Anolis sagrei: one gene and its partner. The protein of the gene in region 1 interacts with the protein of each later gene in a biochemical or structural test. Links are inferred from orthologs where the notes say so. Each region holds a gene or a part of one and is shown in the gene's direction. Other genes may lie near its edges.

Evidence for each region.
Region 2: the proteins of PTCH1 (region 1) and SHH are reported together in a solved structure, tested with the Homo sapiens proteins (5 studies listed by BioGRID and IntAct, with this or other methods). The link is inferred for Anolis sagrei from reciprocal best matches to the Homo sapiens genes PTCH1 and SHH.

The regions. Positions count from the first base shown.
Region 1 is NC_090022.1:230,895,439-230,903,500, reverse strand, and holds the start of PTCH1 (protein patched homolog 1), read left to right. Parts: upstream 1-5,025; 5' UTR 5,026-5,140; coding exon 5,141-5,422; intron 5,423-8,062.
Region 2 is NC_090026.1:119,821,329-119,829,274, forward strand, and holds the start of SHH (sonic hedgehog protein), read left to right. Parts: upstream 1-4,884; 5' UTR 4,885-5,450; coding exon 5,451-5,762; intron 5,763-7,946.

The DNA.
Region 1 (8,062 bases):
GGCATGGGCAAACCTCTGCCCTCCAGGTATTTTGGACATCAACTCCGAGGAATTATGGGAGTTGAAGTCTAAAACACCTGGAAAGGCGAAGTTTGCCCATGCCTGTGCTAGACAGTGGCATCTACTGCTTCTCCATCTCAGAGACAGCCATGGTCTAGACCAGAGTGAGAAGGGAAAATAAAATATTTCAGAGATGAAGAGTAGGAACAAGTCTGGGGACTGGCCTTTGCTGAACTATGGGCCCTTTGTAGGTATATATAAACATGCCCACCTTCAGTGTCAAACCTGTAGCAGGATATCTCTATCCAGGGGTATATCTGCACTGTAGAATTAATGGAATTTAACACCACTTTAACTGCCATGGCTCAATGCTCCAGAATCATGGGAATTCTAGTTTGGTGGGACATCAGAACACTTTCATAGAATCATTGAGTTGGAAGAGACCTCATGGGCCATCCAGTCCAACCTCCTGCCAAGAAGCAGGAAAATTGCATTCAAAGCACCCCTAACAGATGGCCATCCAACCTCTGTTTAAAAGTAGGTGAACTATAAATCCCAGTAACTACAACTCCCATCTGAGCTCATATTTGGGCATATTGAGTATTCGTGCCAAGTTTGGTCCAGATCCATCATTGTTTGAGTCCACAGTTCTCTCTGGATGTAGGCAAACTACAACTCCCAAACTCAAGGTCAATGCCCACCAAACCCTTCCAGTGTTCTCTGTTGGTCATAGGAGTCCTGTGTGCCAAGTTTGGATCAATTCCATCATTGGGGGAGTTCAGAATGCTCTTTGATTATAGGTGAACTATAAATCCCAGCAACTACAACTCCCAAATGACAAAATCATAATTTTTGAGTGATGGTCACTCCTTGTGTTGTGAGACATTTTGGTGTGATTTTGTTCATTGGTTCTTTTGTTTTTAAGGTGCTCTTTCAGTTTCTGAAACAGGAACAACATGCACAGAGTTATGGTATGCCTTTTACAATAAGGATGTTGTTCCTGTGAACAAATCATGTTGCTTTGGTGGCTGTGATCAGACTAATGGAAAGCGTTACTGTTGATACAGAGCTGAGCTGACCCTGCCCTCAGAGCTCTTAGGAGGAAGAGCCGGACATAAATCAAATAAAGGAGAAGGAGGAGAGGGAGATGAGGTTCCTTGGATAATTCTTTCCAAATTTCAGGAAGACCTGTTTTTGCTAGTAGCCACCAGACAGTTCTGATCCCCAAGTTTGTCATGAAACAAAATACACACAAAGCAACATCTTTCATAAAAACAACTGATGATCTATATGGTGCAAAGAGGCTATTAGTCCTTGAACGCCACTGGATTTAGTTTCCCTCTTTCTTTTCTTCTCAAAAGACTCTACATGAGTTAGAGAACAGAATAGACATAAGAAATGATTGGGTATTTTCTATCTAACTTTTTTCCCCCTTTTGCCTTGTATATTTGCTATCTTCCTGGTGAACCTTTCTCAGGGAGAAAAATGGCAAAGATTAACATCCATCCTGCAAGGGCAAACATTTGAAAACCAAGCCGTGGGATGGAATGAGTAAACATTTCAGCAGGAGGAAAACTCTGGTCCATCCCCCCCTTCTCTTCATTTTATCCCGTATTTATTTTAACAAGGAAAACTGCATTCCAGCACTTGCCCTCTCCCCAATACACACACATCTTGAGGGCAAAGGCACACACACAACACGATTTTATAGTAGACTCTCACTTAACTGGAACTCAAGCAACTGACAAAAAAAACCCCCCGAATAAATAATACTTTATTTTTTAAAAAATACAGTAAAACAGCAGAACTGTTACATTATGTTTGTCCTTATATGTCTCAATTTGATTTTAATTACTGTATTTAAATATTAATATCACATCAATACAGAGGTATGGTGTGAGGTATAGTATTAGTTAGGTCTATATTAATTTGTGAGGTATAGTATTATTTAGGTCTATATTAATTTTTTGTTGTTTATTTGTTCAGTTCTTTGGGACCTCATGGACCTATTAAGTATATTATCTTATTATATTAATAATAACTATATTGGGTTGCTGTGAGTTTTCTGGGCTATATGGCCATGTTTGAGAAGCATTCTCTCCTGACGTTTTCCCCACATCTATGGCAAGCACCCTGAGAGGTTGTGAGGTCTGTTGGAAACTACGCAAGTGTGGTTTATATATCTGTGGTGGGAGAAAGAACTCTTGTCTGCTTGAGGCAAGTGTGAATGTTTTAATTGGCCAGCTTGATTATCATTGAATGGCCTTGCAGCTTCAAAGCCTGGCTGCTTCCTGCCAGGAGGAATCCTTTGTTGGGATGTGTTAGCTGGCTCTGATTGTTTCCTGTCTGAAATTCCTCTGTTTTCTGAGTGTTATTCTTTATTTAATGTTCTGATTTTAGAGGGTTTTTTAAAAATACTGGTAGCTAGACTTTGTTCGTTTTCATGGTTTCCTCCTTTCTGTTGAAATTGTCCACATGCTTGTGGATTTCAATTGCTTCTCTGTGTAGTCTGACATGCGGGTTGTTAGAGCGGTCCAGCATTCTGTGTTCTCAAATAATATGACTGCCAGTATTTTAAAAACTCTAAAATCAGGAAGGTAAATAAAGAACAACTCTAAGAAAACAGGGGAATTCCAGAAAGGAAGCAATCAGGGCCAGCTAACACCTCTCAACAAAGGATTCCCCCCAGACAGGAAGCAGCCAGGCTTTGAAGCTGCAAGGCTATTCGATGCTAATCAAGGTGGCTAATTGCAACATTCACACTTGCCTTCAACAGACAAGAGTTACTTTCTCCCACTCTGGACATTCCACAGATATATAAACCCCACTTGCCTAGTTTCCAAGAGACCCTACAACCTCTGAGGATGCCTACCATAGATGTGAAACATCCCTGTTATGTCAGCTCCACTGGCTGCCAATTTGCTTTTGAGCACAATTCAAAGTGCTGGCTTTAGCCTATAAATCCCTAAATGGTTCTGGTCCAGCTTACCTGTCCAAATGTATCTCCCTTTATGATCCAGTGCGCGGTTGACAGGGATGAGAGACAGGACCCTCTCGGTGGTGGCCCCTTGGTGGCCCCAGTGACATCAGAACAGCCCGCTCACCCTTAAGCTTCAGGGAAAATCTTAAGACCTGGCTATTTAAGCAAGCCTTTGAGAATTAATATGATCCATAAGTATGACGGAATCTGTATAAGAACGGCGAAAGCCATTGGTTTAATGTTTACGAAGTTCAGTTGGTGCTAGACTTTTGATATCTTTGATATGTTTTAATCATTTGAAAGACTATTTAATTGATATGTATATGCTTTTTACAGTTTTGTAATAGGTATTTTATTGTTGTGTTATTGTCTGAATCTGGCATTGAATTATTGCCATAGTTTGAGAAGGGTAGGGTAGAAGTACAGTAAATAAATAAATAAACAGACAAACAAATGGCAGGAGAAAATGCTTCTGGAACATGGCCATAAAGCCCAGACAACTCAAAGCAACCCAGTGATTCTGGCCATGAAAGCCTTCAACAACACAGTAACAATATTAATACATTATAGTCTATATTAATATTAACTTTATATTTATATGAACTATTATTATTATTATTATTAGTAGTAGTAGTAGTAGTAGTAGTAGTATTTCAAGCATTTATATCCTGCCCTTCCCACTCCGAAGAGGGACTCAGGGTGGCTTACAATAGGTAAGCGTTAGATGTCAGACAATACATTAAAATACACAGTTACAATTAAAACAGAAATTAAAACAATTATAAACATTCAATTTAAAACAGTCCACCGGTTCAAAATCATAGTCCAGGTCAGTCCATTGTCCATTAAAACATTGTCTTCCCAGTTGCTACATCTCTTGCTCAAATGCTTGATCCCACAGCCAGGTTTTAAGTTTATGATGAAAGGCCAGGAGAGAGAATGCAGACCTAATTTCATTGGGGAGGGAGTTCCACAGCCGAGGAACCACCATGGAGAAGGCCCTGTCTCTCATTACCACCAGTCGCGACTGCAAAGGAGGTGGGACCGAGAGCAGGGCCTCCCCAGATTATCTAAACATCCTTGATGGTTCCTAAAGGGATGCCAGCCACATGACCTTGGAGGTGTCTATGGACAACATTGGCTCTTTGGTTTAGAAATGGAGATAAGCACCAACCCCCAGAGTTGGACAGGACTGGACTTAATGTCAGGGGAAAACCCTTACCTTTACCTATATTAATATGAACTATATATTATTTTCTAACTGGAGGTCAGCTGTGACCAGCGGTGCTGCAGAATCCGAAGAGGCACAAATGAAGGGTGAAATGGAGAAACATGCCAAGAGGAAGGCACATCAAGCCAACCCTGACTGGGACCACCTTCCATCTGGAAACCGATGTCCTCATTGGGAGAGAACATGCAGATCAAGAATAGGGCTCCACAGCCACCTACAGACCCACCACCAAGACACTACATGTGGAAGACCATCATCCTCGAGCTATGAGGAATCGCCTAAGTATATATTATTTATATATAATATATTAAAGGCTATATGAATAGTAACTCTCAAGCAACCAGAAATGTCATTTATCTGCCATTTACTAATCCCCATGATGTTGGCCAACTGAGAGTCTGTTGTACTTCCCAAGAGGAACTGAGACTACAAGTGAACTTCATGCTTCAGATGAAAGCAAGATTTGTAGCATCAGATGAATGATGCTTTTAAGTGAAGGTAGAAGAGAGAGAGAAAGGGGAGACTATGGGGAGGGAGAGGGGAAAGTGGGGTGGGGTGGGGGGAAGGAGTGTTGTAGCCACTTTGTCAATTTCATGCTTGGGGTCTGCTCCAGGGACCTTCAGAGAGAGAGAGAGAGAGAGAGAGAGAGAAAGGGAGCGAGGCTGCTTGATGCTTGTTTACCCAGGAGGGCTGCTCTGAGCGTCAGTTCCTTGGGTTTACTTTGCTTTTCCTTGAGTTTATTGTACCAAAAAAAGGGGGGGGGGAGTGAAAAAAAAGGTTTTTCGGATCCATCACGTGATCCTGACAGGTCCTGCCTATTGAGAAAGCCAGACCACCCACATGGAGAGGACGATGGAGCTCTTAATAGAAACAGGCACGCAATTGTGCGCACTCCGCCGAACGCTTGCCATGGAGGAGGATTCCTGTTGATGCGGATGGTTATTATTATTACTATTATTATTCTCGTTATTTGGAAGCGGGGGAGCCTTCCAAAGCTTTGGGAAAGGGAGAAGCGGACGGGCAAGAGAGGAAAGAGGGAGTTTGCATTTCGGAGCAGGGAAGTCTCCCAGGAAAGGCACTTGGATGTCCTCCTCTCCTTCTCTTCCTCCAAGTTGGCTTCTGCCTCGGCGGCACCACGGCGGCGGGGAATGAAGGCGACCAGCCGGACCCAGAGGCCACTCCACCCCTTCCAGGGGCTCCAAGGGGAGAGGGTGAGTCCGGGAAAGCGCCATCGGGAAAGCGGGGCCGGGGAATGAGAGAGAAGGGAGGGAGGGAAGGAAGGACGGAAAGAGGGAGGGAGGGAGGGAAGGAGATCCGCGGGTGGATGCGCCTGGCAGATGGCAAATCCCTTTGGGCGAGCTGGCACAGGGAGGGTGTTTGTGTGTGTGTGTTGTGAGTGGGAGAGAAGGCTGACGGGGAGGGATGGAACAAGAGGAAGGAAGGAAGGAAGGAAGGAAGGAAGGAAGGAAGGAAGGAAGGAAGGAAGGAAGGAAGGAAGGAAAGAAATCCAGGGAAATCCAGTTGAAGGAGAGAGAGAGAGAGAGAGGATAGGAAGGAGAGAGGAGGGCTGGCCTCACTGCTGTCATTACACGCAAAGAACCAGCCAATGGAGAACATGCATGGGCCAACTTGGGTCCTCCAGATGTTTTGGATTTCAACTCCCACCATCTCCAACAGCCTCAGGCCCTTTCCTTTTCCCCCTCAGCCACTTAAGGGAGAAAAGGAAGGGGCTTGAGGCTGTTAGGGATGGTGGGAGTTGAAGCCCAAAACACCTGGAGGACCCAAGTTGGCCAATGCCTGGTGTAGAAGATGCATCCCATCTCTCCCTCATTACGGCTGGTGGGAGGGCCTGAGGCTGTTAGGGATGGTGGGAGTTGAAGTCCAACACACCTGGAGGACCCAAGTTGGCCAATGCCTGGTGTAGAAGATGCATCCCATCTCTCCCTCATTACGGCTGGAGGGAGGGCCTGAGGCTGTTAGGGATGGTGGGAGTTGAAGTCCAACACACCTGGAGGGCCCAAGATGGCTCATGCCAGGTGTAGAAGATGCATCCCTTCTCCCCCTCTCTTCTTTGACCTCATGGCAGCTGGAGGGAAAGGAAAGGGCCTGAGGCTGTGAGGGATGGTGGGAGTTGAAGTCCAAAACACCTGGAGGACCCAAGTTGGCCCATGCCTGGTGTAGAAGATGCACCCCATCTCTCCCCCTCCTCTCTGACCTCATGACGGCTGGTGGGAGGGCCTGAGGCTGTTAGGGATGGTGGGAGTTGAAGTCCAACACACCTGGAGGACCCAAGTTGGCTCATGCCTGGTGTAAAAGATGCATCCCTTCTCTCCCTCTCTTCTTTGACCTCATGACGGCTGGTGGGATGGATCAAGAGGTCTCTTGGATCCCAATTGGATTCTTGGAAGGGCACCCCACACCATAATGTCTGTATGTCTGCCTGGCAGGGGCTTCACTGAAATCGATATGGGAAGTGTTCCTTTCACAACATGTCCATCTTAAATCTTTGAGGTCCCAGGTATAAGTACTATGGCTTTAGACCACAGATATATATTTGTTTGCACTGCTTTAGTAAACCTCTGGCCTAAAGACATAGTACATATAATATGTGGTCAGATGACACCTGGAATCACACTGTGTCCAATTCTGGGCACCACAATTGAAGGGAGATGTTGACAGGCTGGAATGTTTCCAGAGGAGGGCAGCTCAAATGATCAAGGGTCTGGAGAACAAGCCCTAGGCATGTATAGCCTGCAGAAGAGAAGGCTGAGAGGAGGCATTATGGCCATATATAAACATGTGAGAGGAAGTCATGGGGAAGAGGGAGCAAGCTTGTTTTATGTTGCCCTGGAGACTAGGATGCAGAACAATAGCTTCAAACAACAGGAAAAGAGATTCCACCTGAACATGAGGAAGAACTTCCTGACTGTGAGAGCTATTCAGCAGTGGGACTCTCCGCCCTGGAGTGTTGTGGAGGCTCCTTCTTTGGAGGTTTTTAAACAGAGGCTGGATGACCATCTGTCAGGCGTGCTTTGAATGCTATTTTCTTGCTTCTTGGCAGGGGGTTGGACTGGATGGCCCACAAGGTCTCTTCCAACTCTATGATTTTGTGATTCTATGTCCATCTCTTTCTTCCTGGCTACATGTTCCAGTAAGGAAATGTGAGTGCAAGCATCAAGGGGACTTTTTCTGGAGGTTGCATTTACACTGTGTGATTGAATGCCAATTGACATCTCTTGAACTGCCCTGTGCTGGAAGTTGTCATTTCATAAGCTTGCGTGCCTTCTCTGCCCAAGAGTGCTAGGGCCTCATCAAACTGTAACTTGCCTATTTATCATGTCAGAAGTGAACCAAGGGTACAGTCATAATGTATTTAAAAACACCAAGTTTAAAAACTTGGCATTATACTAAATGTCCTTTGACCAGTAACTGGCCACTTAGAGTATCTCTGGTGTTGTATATGCGACTTGCAGCTTGCCTGATTTCCATAGTCTTGAGCCATGGTAGTTCAAGTGGTGTTAAACTGTATTCATTCTGCAATGTAGATGGACCTTATGACTTGAAACAAGCAACTTGTTGAAGGTTGAGTTGCTTTAGGAAAAGGCAATTGGGTGACTCTTTGGGGGCATCTCTTTGCCAGAAATCAGCCTTGGCTTCCATTGACACTCTCTGGCTTCCATGGCTCTGCAAAAGAGGTACAAACAGCTGCTTAAGTCTTGTTAGCCCTGACTAAAGTAGGCTCATTGAATTAATGGATTTTACCTATGTGCTAGGGCCATGGTGGTGCAATGGGTTAAACCGGTGAGCGGCGGAACTTGCTGACTGAAAGGTTGGTGGTTAAAATCCATGGT
Region 2 (7,946 bases), on another chromosome or scaffold:
ATTCTATAATGTAAATACAGCCCAGGACACCTTTTAAAGGGATGCCAAAGACTGCTTCTGCAAAATGGCATTGCTCTACCTTCCTTGGAAATAGGATTGGGACAGGGCCTCATTGAGCAGCATGAAGCAAAGGCCTCAAGGAGCAAGGTTGGGGTTGGCTAACATAAAAAGGCAGAATATGCTGCTTTTGGAGGTATTTTGGAGTTTGTTTTTGGAACTTCTAGAGGGGTTGGCCAGGCCTCTTTTGGGAGTGGAGTGGAAGAAAGAAAAGGAGAGGAAATGTCCCCTCTGAAGAGAGAAAGAGCATTGGACAGCCTAAGCTTGGCATGGGCAAACTTGGATCCTCCAGTTGTTTTGGACTTCAACACCCACAAATCCTAACAGCCTCAGGCCCTTTCCTTTTCCTTAAGTGGCTGAGGGGGACAAGGAAGGGGCCTGAGGCTGGGTTGCTGTGAGTTTTCCAGGCTGTCTGCCCATATTCCAGAAGCATTCTCCCCTGACCTTAGCCCACATCTATGGTAGTAATCCTCAGAGGTTTTCAGGTTTGTTGGAAACTAGGCAAGTGGGTTTTATATACCTGAGGAATAATGTCCAGGGTGGGAGAAAGAACTCTTGCCTGTTTGAGGCAAGTGTTAATGCTGCAATTGATCACCACGAGGAGCATTGCAGCTTCAAGGCTTGGCTGCTTCCTGGCTAGGGTAATCCTTTGTTGGGAGGTAGCCCTGAGTCTGTGAGGAATGGTGGGAGTTGAAGTCCAAAACATCTGGAGGGAGGGCCCAAGTTTGCCCATGCCTGGCCTAACCTGATGGGCTATAAATATACTTTCCCTACTTGAATTACATTTCATAGAATCATAGAGTTAGAAGAGACCTCATGGGCCATCCAGTCCAACCCCCTGCCAAGAAGCAGGAAAAATGCATTTAAAGCACCCCAACAGATGGCCATCCAGCCTCTGTTTAAAAGCCTCCAAAGAAGGAGCCTCCACCACACTCTGGGGCAGAGAGTTCCACTGCTGAACGGCTCTCACAGTCAGGAAGTTCTTTCTAATGTTCAGATGGAATCTCCTTTCTTGTAGTTTGAAAACATTGTTCCTTGTCCTAGTCTCCAGGGCAGCAGAAAACAAGCTTGCTTCCTCCTCCCTATGACTTCATCTCACATGGCTACTATCATGTCTCCTCTCAGCCTTCTCTTCTTCAAGCTAAACATGTCCAGCTCTTTAAGCCACTCCTCATAGGACTTGTTCTCCAGACCCTTGATCATTTTAGTCACTCTCCTCTAGACACATTGCAGCTTGTCAATATCTCTCTTCAGTTGTGGTGCCCAGAATTGGACACAATATTCCAGGTGTGGTCTAACCAAGGCAGAATAGAAGGGTTGCATGACTTCCCTAGATCTAGACACTAGACTCCTATTGATGCAGGCCAAAATCCCATTGGCTTTTTTTGCATCACATAGTTGGCTCATGTTTAACTTGTTGTCCACGAGGACTCCAAGATCTTTTTCACACGAGGTAGTATAAGAAGGGAGCTCTAAAGGATTTGAGATCTCCAGAGCTTTTTAAAAAACCATTGAAGTCCTCCCATTGGCCATTCTGTCTGGAGAATTCGGAGCTGAACTTCTGAAAGTGTGGCTTCTCTCCGGCCTCCTTTGGGAAGCAGGGTTGGCTCCCCACTTCCTCCCTTCGCTCCCTCTCTTCCTCGCCTCCCACTTGTCTTATTCCTCGCGTGTAGTTATTGATCTTTCCTCGGTCACTTCCTCCCCTCTTGCTAAGCTCTGGTTTGTACATCTGGGAGGCTTGAGATCCACGGAAGGCACAGGAGATTTGGCTCCTGAAGACCGTGCCGACTAGGGCGCATTGCCTGCCCCCCTTTTCCTTCCCAAAGAGAAGGATCCGAAGCCCGTTTCCCTCGTGGAGAGGAGTGGGTGCGTGGAGAGGGGGCTGAGCCCGAAGCCTGCCTTGGTTCACCCTCCTAGCTTCATGGGAAGGAAACTTTTTCTCGCGCAAAGTTTCTGCGGCTTCTTCTCCCCTAGATACTTTTTTGAGTTTGGAGACATGACTTGGAGGTCCCAGAATCCACAGTCTCGTCAACTTTCGGGTCGGGTGGATTCTGGGAGCGGTGGTGCAAAATCAAACCAACTAAGACGCAACTTGTCCGAGTTCGGAAAAGTTTGGAAAAGTTTGGAAAAGTTTTCACGGGACGCCTCGAAACTTTCCAAACTTTCCTTCCCACAGATCCCTCAAATAGACACCAAAGACGGCAGAGTTGGGAGCAGAGGGTCGGTAGAAAATACTAATGAGGCATTCAAAGTTAACTTTTTGAAGAGGGTCGACTTTTTTTAAAAGTCGGATTCACCCACTCTTGGATAGGAATCCCGAGTTCGCTCCCTCGCCTCTCAACGAGTTAGGAAACGAGCCGAGGCGTTATTCTGTCTTCGTTTCCCGGAGAGTAAATGCATTTATTTCTATGGACGACTTTCCCAAGTAAGGTGGGAGTTTCACGCAGGGACAGCCTCATTTCCAAGAAATCAACAGGTGGAAAGATCTCCAAACGAGAGCTCCAAGCCCTCAGAATGATCAAACGTGGTCTCCTTTTGACTTCTAGGAAAGTTTCTGGGAGGCTTGAGATGTCTTGAACGTGAAGAATATCTAAGTGCAATTGTTCAAAAATAAATATCCCATCCATCTCAGTATGTGGAAAAGTAGGTCCATCCCAATAAGTAGTATATATGGGGGAAATGGTATTTCTCAATCCACCCCAACCTATGTGGAAAGACAGGATTTATCTCTCAATCTACACCAGTAAGTAGAAAGAAGTAGGGTTATTTTTTATTATTATTTCAAACCCAGCTCCCAATATTGATCCACTCCAAGTCCTTGAGTCAGTGACCTGCTGTTGCGGAGTTGTTGGAAGGAACTCTGCCTTTCCCCCCACATGGAGAGAGGTGCCTTCCCTCCTGGAAAGAAGACCAACTCCGCTGCTTTTCGGGCTGGAGTTGCGGGCTCCCATCTCCGGCGAGGCTGCGTGGATCTGGGCGAGCGCCTTTGTCTGTCCCGAGTCTGCTGCATCTCCAGCCAGAGAGCCACTCATGCCGCATTTCCCTCCGCGCCACTCACTTGAGGTCTGCCTCTGACGTGTGAAGAGGCTTTCCGCGCCAGGGAGAAGGAAGGAAAGGGAAGGGGAAGGGAGGAGGAAAGAGGGGAGGAAAGAGGGAAGGAAGGGAAGGGAAGGGAAGGAGGGAGGGAAAGGAGAAGGAGAAAAAGGAGAAGGAAGGAAGGGGAAGGGGAAGGTAGGAGGAACGAGGGAAGGGAAAGGGAGGGAGGGAAGGAGAAGGAAGGAAAATTAAGGGAAGGAAGGGAAGGAAAGGAGGGAGAAGGAAGGGAAAGAAGGAAGAAGAGAGGGAAGTGAAGGGAGGGAGGGAGGGAAAGAGAAGGAAGGAAAGAAGGAAGGAAGGAAAGAGAAAGGAAGGAGGAGGAGGAAGGGAAAGAAGGAAGAAGAGAGGGAAGTGAAGGAAGAAAGAAAGGGAGGGAGGGAAGGAGAAGGAAGGAAAATTAAGGGAAGAAAAGGAGGAAGAAGGAAGGGAAAGAAGGAAGGAAAGAAGAAAGGGAAAGGAAGAAGAGAAGGAAGGGAAGGAAGGGAAGGAAGGGAGGGAGGAGGAGGAGGAAGGGAAGGAAAGAAGGGGAAGGAACAAAAGGAAGAGAAGGAAGGAATGAGAAGGATGGAGAAGGAAAGTAAGGGAAGGGAAGTAGAAAGCCCTGGGAAGCCTTACCTGGGGCTCCGATCAATACCCTCAGAATGGGGAGCAAGCCTCCTCTTGCCTCGCAGCTCAGCCCCATTTTCCTCCAAGGTCTCCTTTGGGGCGCCAGGACTCCTCGAGATGTTTAATTGCTCCTTCCATAAAATATTGTGTGTGAGCATGGCTGCCCACACTCACATTCGCATTCTATATTGCACCCTACAGGTGGTGAAGCCCAATTATAGTCGTAAGTACCGTAAGACCCATTGTAATCAATAGGGCGGACAAACGAGTTGACTCAGAGACCTCTATTTTTTCCATTCCTAATATGTAGGTAGGTACCTCACATGTACCTGTGTACACTTCTCCAACAGGGATTCTCATAGATAGATAGATGTGTGCCTTCAAGACACCTGTTGACTTATGTTGACCCCATAGGGCTTTTTGGGTCGTTCCTTCCTCTGAAATGCATCCCACAGCCCCTGATATTCCCTGGTGGGAAGTACTGACCCTGACTCGTTTCCAAAATCAGGTGGGATCTGGTGCCTTTGGGGCATTTAGGTCAGGAAAGAGAGGGGGGTGTAGACAGAAGGACCTTAAGGCAACCTATTGGGAGCTTTTGCTGGTTCAGAAAGACTTTTGCCCTGGCCATCCTCTGATGTGGGGAGAGCCTGGTCTCCAGAGTCCACGCGGCTCAGGTGCAGATATATCCGTGTATCCTTCCCTATATGACACACAGGGAGGGATAGGCAGGCAGACACACCAAATCAAGAGAGACGTTTCTGTCCTAATCCCCAAACTCGCTGTCAGGTGCCTGGCTGAGCGGCTGGCTCCCCTTCCACGCCTTCCTCCTCCTCCTCCTCCTCCCGACCAGCATCTGCTCCTCTTGCCCTAGAAAAAAGAGAAAAGTTTCCGAGTGGATGGAGGGCCGAGAGGGAGGCAGGAAGGAAAGCAAGCAAGAGCAGCCTGGTTGGGGGGCGCCTCTTGTTGCGGGTGCGCCTCTCCTTCTCCTTCTTCCTCATCATCCTCACCTTCTTGTTGTGGTTGTTGTGTTGTTGTTGTTGTTGGCCTCCTCGAGGGTTAACGCCTCCCTCCGCCGGCGCGCTCCTCCCGCCTCGTCCAATCAGCGCGCAGCCCTGGCAGCTATAATATCCCAACTAAAGGCAGGCTCCTTCGCAGCACACAGCGCAGCGCCCGGGCGGCGGAGCTCCCACTAGAGACCCACGAGCGAGAAAAGGAGAGAGACAGAGAGAGAGAAGGAGGGAGAGCAGAGAGAAAGAGAGAGCAGCTCCCCGCCTTCCTTCCTTCCTTCCTTCCTTCCTTCCTTCCTTCCTTCCTTCCTTCCTTCCTTTTCCTTCCTTCCTTCCCTCCCCACCCGAGACGCGTGGCTCCCCTGGCCTTCCCTCTCTTCCTCCTCCTCCTCCTCCTCTTCCCCGCCCCACGGCCGGCCTTTCTCTGGGGCGTCCCGTCCACTCCCGCACCTGCCACGCAAAGGATCGGACGCGGAGGAAGAAGGAGCGCAGAGAGAGAGACAGAGAGACAGAGAGAGAGGCATCGCACCATCGCAGAGGCGCAGAGCGATCCCCGAGCCTCCGGGAGTTGCTTCTCGGGGGGAGGCGGAGGCTTGCAGCCGGCTCCCCCCTCCTGCTCCCTCCTCGCCTCCTTCCTCGCCTCCTTCCTCCTCCTCCTCTCCTCCTCCTCCTTCCCGGGCCGGGATGCGTCTGCCGGGGGGCGCGGGTCTGGCGTGGGGGGCGCCTGCGCTCCTCCTCCTGCTCCTCTGCCCCTCGGGCCTGGCCTGCGGCCCTGGAAGGGGCTTCGGGAAGCGGCGGCACCCCAAGAAGCTCACGCCCTTGGCCTACAAGCAGTTCATCCCCAACGTGGCCGAGAAGACGCTGGGCGCCTCCGGGCGCTACGAGGGCAAGATCAGCCGCAGCTCGGAGCGCTTCAAGGAGCTCACCCCCAACTACAACCCGGACATCATCTTCAAGGATGAGGAGAACACCGGCGCGGACCGGCTCATGACCCAGGTCAGTGGGGTTCCCCCTCTCTCCCCCCTGCAGACCCCCACCTTGCTTCCCTCTCGCCTTTCCCCTTTCAGGTGTTCAGCTGGAGATAGTCGAGGTGTGTTTTGCCCCCCTCTCTCTTGCTAGGGACCTGACTCATTCAGAGAGAGGGTTTGCCCCCCATTCAGACCTTCCTCCACGCCCGGGGCGGGTCTTGGCTTGCCTTTCTAGCTCGCCTTTCCACCTGCGGCAGGTCGAATTGGTCCTTGGCCCTCTCAGGCTGGCCCAGGCCAGCCAGTGTGTGTGTGTCCCCAACTCAGACCTTCATTTAGGGCCCCCTTTCTCGCTTGTGAGAGTGTGTGTGTGTATGTGTGTCCAACTCAGCCTTCATTTAGGGCGACCCTTTCCCGCTTGAATCCCCATAGCCTCCCCCTTCCTTTCCGAGGTGCTTCTTGGCCCTCTCTGGCTCGCCTCTCCCCACCTGCTGACCTAAGCCAGCCAGAGAGAGAAAGAGGTATTCCCACCCATTAGGGGCCCTTTTTTCGCTTGACTTCCCCACTCGAGCACCCCCACAGCCTCCCCCTTCTTTTCCGAGGTGTTCCTTGGCCCTCTCTGGCTCGCCTTCCCTCAGCTGCTGATCCAGGGCACTCAGAGAGAGAGAGGGGGGAACCCTCTCCCCATTCAGACCTTCATTTAGGACCCCTTTTCTTGCTTGACTTCCCCACTCGAGCATCCCCACAACCTCCCCTTTCTTTCCGAGGTGTTCCTTGGCCCTCTCTGGCTTGCCTTCCCCTAGCTGCTGACCCAGGACAGTCAAGAGAGCAAAAGAGAGGGTTTTCCTCAATTCAGACCTTCATTTAGGGTCACTTTTATCCCTTGATTTTTCCACTCGGACATCCCCACACCTCCTCCTTTTCCGAGGTGCTCCTTGGCTCCCTCTGGCTCGCCTCTCCCCACCTGCTGACCCAGGCCAGTCAGAGAGAGGAAGAGGTATTCAGACCTTCATTTAGGGGGCCTTTTATTGCTTGCCTTCCCTACTCGAACACCCCCACAGCCTCCCCCTGGGGAGAGGGCTCTTTGGCCCTCTCCCCAGCTGATAGCCCAGGCCAGTCAGAATGGGTTTCCCCATTCAGGTGGATCTTGCTCCCCACTAAGTTTGCAAGAGGAAGAATAAGAGCTGCAAGGAGAAGAGGAGGAGGAGGAAGGGCGGAAGGCTTCCCACCTGCGTGCCTGCCGTGCCTGCCTTTCCCTGGGATGGAGGAGGAGGGGGAGGCGCAAAGACTCGCGTGGCGGGCGTGGGGTGACACTCGCGCCACGCCGATGCCCTTCCCTGCCACTTGGTTGGTCGGTGGGTTGGTTAGCCGGTTCTGACTGCTTCTCTCCCCCCCCCCCCCACCGCTCTCCCTATTCCTCCTCTTTCCCAGGATCCGAGGGGAGCCCACGCCACGAGAGAGAGAGAGAGAGAGAGAGAGAGATCCCTTCCTCTCTCTCTCCTTCCTCCCCTCCCTTCCTGCACCTTGCGCTTCCTGGCCAGCCTCCCTTGAGGTCCAGAGGCCCAGAAGGAGAAGGGGATGGAGAAGGAGAAGGTGGGGGCTCTCTTGCAACCCACGCCCTCCTCCCCTTCTCTCCTTTTCCTCGCCATCCCCTCGTGGGCCACTGCGCCCAGATGAGCATTCAGAGATCGATTTCCCTTTAAGGATGCTCCCCCATTAGACCTGCTTTCCCACCAAAGGCCGGGGGGGGGGGAGAGGAGAGGGGGAGGGAGGGACGAGTAACTTAACCAGCATTGCATCACTTCAATGGAGGAAGGAGGGAGAGAGAAAGAAAGAGAAGAGCTCAGACTGAGGACTCTCTCTCTTTCTCTGTGTCTCTCTATGAATGAATCCTCCAAGGATCCAAGGCTTCAGACCCAAGGCTAAAAATAGGAAGTGGGTTTAAGGGGTCCATCCTTCTCTTCCTCTTGATGCGGAAGCTTGGGCTCTTCCATCCCTCTTCCGCCTTCTTCCTCCTCCTCTTCTCCTCTCAGTTCCGGAGTTCCTCCAAACTACCTGCCGCCCAGCTTGGCATCCTTCCTTCTTTCCTTCCAAATATAGGTCAACAGTCTTTCTGCCTCCTTCCTTCCCTCCCTCCTTCCGCTATTCATATGTTTAAGCCCCACCTTCGGGTCTCTCCTGGAGACTGAGGAGGCCGAGTGGGGATCGTGGAAGG